2 linked regions of the Macaca mulatta genome follow. The protein of the gene in region 1 interacts with the protein of each later gene in a pairwise test. Links are inferred from orthologs where the notes say so. Each region holds a gene or a part of one and is shown on either strand. Other genes may lie near its edges.

Evidence for each region.
Region 2: the proteins of UBQLN4 (region 1) and PRPF40A interact in a two-hybrid assay, tested with the Homo sapiens proteins (2 studies listed by BioGRID and IntAct). The link is inferred for Macaca mulatta from reciprocal best matches to the Homo sapiens genes UBQLN4 and PRPF40A.

The regions. Positions count from the first base shown.
Region 1 is NC_133406.1:110,886,233-110,889,885, reverse strand, and holds part of UBQLN4 (ubiquilin-4), read right to left. Parts: intron 3,435-3,653; coding exon 3,172-3,434; intron 1,562-3,171; coding exon 1,403-1,561; intron 1-1,402. UniProt on the Homo sapiens protein: Regulator of protein degradation that mediates the proteasomal targeting of misfolded, mislocalized or accumulated proteins.
Region 2 is NC_133417.1:57,578,989-57,582,641, forward strand, and holds part of PRPF40A (pre-mRNA-processing factor 40 homolog A), read right to left. Parts: intron 2,800-3,653; coding exon 2,666-2,799; intron 1-2,665.

The sequences.
Region 1 (3,653 bases):
AATAAACAAAATACTAACATTAGCTACCACTGAGGTAGAAAAGAGCTGGCTGGGAGATGGAAACAGAGGGATCCCTTCTGTAAACCTTTTTTTGGCCTATATACTTTTCCATGCTTTTTAAGAATACTGTTTTGTTTACTTTGTGTAACTTTCAAATTTTCTTTTTGAGACGGAGTCTCGCTCTGTCGCCCAGACTGGAGTGCAGTGGCGCGATCTTAGCTCACTGCAACCTCTGCCTCCCGGGTTCAAGCAATTCTCCTGCCACAGCCTCTCAAGTAGCTGAGACTACAAGCGCGTACCATCATGCCCAGCTAATTTTTTGTATTTTTAGTAGAGACGGGGTTTCACTGTGTTAGCCAGGATGGTCTTGATCTCCTGACTACGTGATCCGCCGTCGGCCTCCCAAAGTGCTGGGATTACAGGCGTGAGCCACCGCACCCGGCCAACTTTTGAATTTTCAAACATACAAACATAGAATGTGTTTCATGTAAAATTAAATTTTTAAAAAGAACCATGGCCAGGCGCTGTGGCTCATGCCTGTAATCTCAGCACTTTGGGAGGCCGAGGTGGGCGGATCACGAGGTCAGGGGATCGAGACCACCCTGGCTAACACGGTGAAACCCCATCTCTACTAAAAACACAAAAAGTTAGCTGGGCGTGGTGGCATGTACCTGTAGTCCTAGTTACCAGGGAGGCTGAGGCAGAATTGCTTGAACCCGGGAAGCAGAGGTTACAGTGAGCTGAGATTGTGCCACTGCATTCCAGCCTGGGCAACAGAGCAAGACTCCGTCTCAAAAAAAAAAAAAAAAAAAAAAAAAAACCAAAGGGCCCTGAAATTATATATGGCAACATGTTAGGGCAACACTGATTGTTAAAAAAAGAATGCTATATTTTTATCTATTTTTGTGTGTGTATGTACTTGAATAGGATTCATAAAGCATTTTTAAAAATGTATAATCCTGGGACCCAACCCTAGAAATGGATTCAATAAGCAGCTCAAAGGTGGGGACCAGGATTCTCATTATCAACAAGCTCCCCAGGTGATTCTGCTGCAGGTGATCCATGGACCATACTTGAGACATGTTGTATCAGGGCTGGCGTCTGACTTCAGGCCTGCCACCTGGCCTTTGAGCCCCTGGTACAAGAAGTTTGTCAGAAGGATGTCAAGTTCCTTGGATGGATGCTATGCCTCACCCACTTCCACAAGGACCTCTGCTTATCTTTTGTCCATGCCAAATTGGACCATCCCCGGATATGCACTGTTGAGAACTGCCTTCAAGCCAAGGCCCACCCCTCAGGGAACTGGGGAAAGAAAGAAGAGCAGACCCAGGTTTGCCTGGGGTAGGGGTAGGGAATATTGAGCCCAGACAGCCCGACCCACTACCCTGGCCCTTGATCCCACCTGTTCCCGGGCAGCACTGAACATGGGCTCCTGGATGTCCGTGTACATGCGGCGGAGGGCATTATATCCTCCAGGGATGCTCTCAAGGTTGCTCAGGGCCCGATCCTGGTTCCGCATCATTTCTTGCATCATGGCTGGATTCCGAGCAAGCTCCATTGTCTGATCAAGGGAGAGAGACAAGATGGGCCCCAGAACCAGGGGAGCACCAACCTAGGAAAAGGGTGGGCCTTGAGGAAGTGGGTCTGTGTCAGGATCAGGACCAGGGCCCAGGAACTGCCCCACAGTGACAGAAAGTAGAATAAACTGGACTTCCTTCCTCTACTGTAATCTTGGCTCCAGGCCTGCCTCCCTGTGGGTATTTTGGTTGGCTTTTTCTAGCGGAGGACAATGATCCCAGCTGAAGTGAGGGCAGCAGCTTCCCTCCCTTAGGCTCAGAGTGTCCAAAGAAGTGTCAGGATGCACAAGGAAACTGAGTCAGAAGGGACACAGAAAGAAAGGGAAGGAAGCAGAAGAGAAAATTAACATCTACTGAGCACCTACTGTATATGGGCACAGGGCCAAGTAGTTTACAGAATTCAAGTCATATAATCTCCACAATAACCATCTCAGGTGGTTATTTCTGTCCCTATTTTGCAGATGAGCAAACAGGCTCAGAGATGTTAACTGACTTGCTGCCCTGGGACACACAGTCACTGAGTGGTGAAGACAGTGTTCAAAGCCAGGTTGGTCGGTCTGTCCAAGACCATACTGTGATTCCTGGTAAATGACTGCAAGTTGGGGAAGGAAAGGATTCAGGCTGGAATAAAGCTACTGACACCCTCTAATTCCCACCTCCAAGTCTTTGGCCTGCCTGAACCTTGAGAAACACTGAGGATGGGGGCTTTCTTCTATGGAGTCAATGGCACAATCTCAATAAGGGGTGGCTATGTCAACCCCAGGGGAGTTCATCACAGAAAAATGAGTGTAACTACTTGTTCGCATTCAACTTGGAATACATTTCCTCTCCTTCCCAAATCTGCTCCACACTTGCCTTTTCTAAGACACCTTTATAACTGATATGCCCAGCTTCCTAGAACTCTGATCTCTTGTCCTGTAATTCATTCATTCAATAAAAATTTACTGCGTGACTACTATGCACCAGGCACTGTTCTAGACAGTGAACAAAACACTCACAAGTCCTTGACCTTACATAAGTTATCTTCTGGTGAGTCCAACACTGGTGTCCACAGCCCTGCTGGGAAGATCGTCTACTCTGATCCTCTGGTAGAGTGGACCATGAGCTGGAACTCCCAAAGAGCAACATCACAACAGTCTCCCTTCCCAACTGGGCCCTGCCCAGCCACAGTGCTCCCCAAACAACCTACTATCTTTCACTCCCAGGCCTTTATATTTGCTGTCCCTTGGCCCTGAATGCTCTTCTCTTTTTTCCCCCGGTTCGTCTTCCTCCTTTGGGTCTCAGCTTGGTGACATCTCTTAAGGCCTCCTCTAAGCCTCAGGGTAGGGCCAGGAGCTCTTCTCTATGCCCCTAGAGGATTCCCTGATTATCCTTATGATAGCACTGACCACATTGTATTCTAATTGCTGGTTTACTTGTCCCACTTCCCTTTGACACCTGGAATTCCTGAAGAGCTAGGCCTGTCTTTTCATCCCTGTACCTCCAGTGTTCAAAACTGCTGAATACATGAATGAACAAATCAATGTATGGAAAGGCTGGGCAGGGCATGGCTGGGCACCAGCGTCCTCCAGCTCTCTAGCCCTCTCATACTCACCTGCCTCATGAGTTCAGGGTTGTTGAGCATGTGGCTGATCTCAGGGTTCCGCTCCATCAGCTGCTGCATCTGGGGGTTGGCCATGATCATGTGACGCATCAGGTCAGGGTTAGACATCATATCCTGGACCAGGGGGTTCTCCATGATCTGCGACAGCATCTCAGGATTGGACATCAGCTGCCTCTGCATCTGCTGCTGCAGCTCCATGAAGTTGGCAGAGCCCAGGCCCAGGCTGCCCAGCCCCAGGATGCCCCCAAAGCCAGCTGTGGGAGGGGGGCAGGGTCACAGTCTGCCACAAGATCCCTGTCCTCACTTAGCCAGAGCCACTGAATTTGGATCTCCAGGACAGGCCCCAAATGCTTCTCACATGTTCCTCTTCCAATCATTCCCACAGCCCAGCCCTGATCCACTGCTGGCAAAAAAATGTGAGCCTACTAGACTGAGGCCTCTCTGAAGGCTGAGGCTGCACCAAACATAGAACT
Region 2 (3,653 bases), on another chromosome or scaffold:
ACTTTCCCTACCATGCCAATGGTCACTAAACACCTTAAATGCCACTCTTAACAGTATTCTTTCAGTCCTCATTCCATAAAAATTTCTTAACATGTTACTTTAGATGGATTCCTTTACCTCAGGGGTTTCTCAAAGACTTATTTGAAGGACTGTTTAAAAAAATCAGATTGTTAGGTCCCATTTCCAGAATCTGATTCTTTAAGTCTGACGTGGGGTTTCAGAATATGTATTTTCATAATTTCCCAGGTTTCAGAATATACATTTTCATAATTTCCCAGGTGATACTGATTCTGTGCATCTGGGGATCATGCTTTATCTTAAAACTCCAAACTCTTGGCTTCTGAGACACTATACATTCCTCTGGTTCTCCTTGAAAGCCTCAGATCAATCCTTTCCAGACGACATTGACTTCAAATACCAGTTTTAAGACATAAGAAAAACAAAGTCATAGTTTCCTCGTCATAGACGTGATGAATTTTCTGATTAGCAAATGAACACTAAATAAAAATAGTCATCATCATAACCATAAGTACTGAGATGCTCTCCATTAATTATATTTTATTGTCTAATGCCAATCTTCTCTTTTAATTCATTTCACTAAAGTCTTAAATAAATCTTTTGAAGTAGCAGAACAGGAAAATTACCAGGCTGAATATCTGAAAGAATATTAATATAACATACTTAACACCAATTTTATTAGTAGTAATCAGAAACTATGCTAGACACATAGCAATCTGATTCAAAGCCACATTTAGGCTTATTTGCGGAACCGTGCAGACTTTACATCAAAATTTCGCCTCATAGTCTCCACCTTCAGTATTGTTTACGTTATAGTCTCATATTTTCTATGACCCAGATTTCCATCTTATTTTCACTGTATTATTATTTTTTCACATGTCTCCTTATTTTAAACCACTGCAAAACCTTCACCAGAGACGTTAAAGCTTAGGTTGTGGAAGAGTGTATAATAGCCCTCCTAAATATCTGTCCTCCCCTTCTTCCTGGGCACATGGCTGCTTAGCTAAAAGCTAAGTTTTCTAGCCTCCTTTGTGTAGCTAGTTGTGGCCATGTGACTAAATTCTCAGCAACTGAACCCAAATGAAGGAGGTGAGCAGAACTTCTAAATCATTAGCTTTAAAAAAGAACTGTTCTTTCGACTTTTTCCAAGTTAAAATGTGAAATGGGGGCAGCATACCCCTAACTCTGCAGAGAAGGTTAACACGCTAGGGCAATGCTTCTCAAAGTATGGTCCAACAGTATCGATACCACCTGGAAATTTAGAAATGTAAATTTTCAGACTACAACCCAGACTTACTAATTCAAATTCTTCAGGTAAGGCCAAACAATTTGTGTTTTTAACCATTGTAGAATATGATAGTCTAGGAAGTCACTAAGATAAAGGAACCCATCAAGAGTAGTAAATGTTAGGTTTTCATTGAATAAGGACCGAAATCATTCTACTGGCTGTGGCGTTTAAGATGGTTAGTAACCTTTGGCATAGTGGGAATAATTTTTCTTTTTTTTTTGAGACAGGATCTCGCTCTTTCGCACAGTCTAGAGTGCAATGGCGCCATCACAGCTCACTGCAGTCTTGACCTCCTGGGCTCAGGTTCTCCCATCTCAGCCTCCTGAGTAGCTGGGGCTACAGGCGTGCACCACCACACCCAGCTAATTATTATTATTATTTTTGTATTTTTAGTAGGGAGCGGGTTTCATCATGTTGCCCAGGCTGGTCTTGAACTTCTGGACTCAAGCAATTGCCAGCCTCAGCCTCCCAAAGTGCTGGGATTATGGGCATGAGCCACTGTGCCCAGCCAGAAGAAATTTTTAAAAAGTCCTCTACGTCATTCTAATACACACTGAATTTTGAGAACCTCTGCCTTAGGGGATGGCAATATGCCCTGCCCTAGACCAAAAAGACTGTTATTTCAAGAAAAAAACTTAAAATTCAAGCCATTGTAACCTAGCATTCACCCTAATACAATGGTTAATGGAAGAGACTCTGTAATCAAAACTGCATGGATTCAAATTCTGGCTTCACTATTCAGCAACTGTTGAACTTGGGCAAGTCACTTCACCTCTTCATTTCCTTAGTTATATAAACTTATGTAACAAAAACAGTAAGAACCCTTATAAGATAAGACTGTCATAAAAATTGAGATTGTAAACATAAATTGTATTGACAGTAAGCAATCAAAGAACATTAGCTATTACAATTATTATTGAAATGGGTGAGATATGAAATGCAAAAAATTCATTGCTCCATGATATTTTCTATCTCTGAAAATAAAAATGATACTTTAAGATGAAAATAAACTACTAGCTGAAAAACATGCAATCCCAGGTCCTTTTTTTAGTGTTTAAGAAATTATGGCCCATCCCCAAACTATACCCTAGCAGTCCCTTTGTCCTCTAGAAACTAAGTATCATCTACTACTGACTCACCACACATATCTTGTTTCCAGTCATCTCTCCTGTTGTTTTCCCCAACCGAAACCTCATTTATCAATGTTCATCTGTAGAACTTAAAGAGTTAAATGTGTATAAGTCCTCACAAAGCCTAAGTCTATGATCTGGGAACAGTTGTCTCAAAATTCTTTATATTACTGTTCAAGTTCTGTAAGTATAATATAAAACTAAGCTAGAAAAGAGCTTTTTCTTTTACCTGGAAAGATTCCCTATTTTTTCGCTGTCGTCTCCTTTCTCTTAGCAAACTCTTCTGTTTTTCTTCTTCTTCCTCCTTTTCTAAAGCCCGAATGTGTTCTTCAAAGCAAATTAATGCATCTTCTTTGTCCATATCTAAAGTATTTGCCAGTTAAAATTTAAAGTGTCAAATGTCAACAAGTAGTTTATTTGCATTAGATCCCCCAAAATTTCAAAATCACCTGTCAAAAATACTTTTAGCTAGGCTAGGGTGAGGTGGCTCATGCCTGTAATCTCAACACTTTGGAAGGCTGAGGTGGGAGGACTGCTTGAGCCCAGGAGTTCAAGACTAGCCTAGGCAACACAGCAAGACCCCGTCTCTAAACAAACAAACAAACAAACTTGTATTTAAACTCAATATGATTTGTAATCATCTGCATAGGAAAGTTTTAAGGAAAATTTCACAAAGAACTCAATAAAAGGCACTCTGAAACATGTCATAGGATAAAACAAAGGACGTGCATATGGCAAAACTAATGAAAATAAAAGTGTTATGATAAAATCTGTTTGCAATATCATAATTATTCCAAGAGCTTAGTATAGAACTGTGCACCCTATAAAAAAAATCTACTGAAGCATGACTTTTAGAGAGGTAGCTGAGAAAGCTATAATTTAAAAAGCAATTGGTTAACTCAGAAAGAATACTTAGGGAAGCCTAATGTAAGATAATTCTAATACATTTTCTTTTTTTTACAAATCTGTAATGTTATTACCACAAAAAAACACGAGTAAAATGCGGTAATTCATTTAGTTCTTACCAAGTTACATACAAATGGCTAAGCATGATTTCAAATTTGACCTATAATTTAAATATTTCAAGTATTACCTGATAAAGCTACTTTAAATTTGAAAAAACATTTTGTCATGAATCACAAACTCAATCAGAAAGAAATATCCTATTCGGAAATAAATAAAACACTTTTTCAGAAATGAACCAACAACTGCATAAA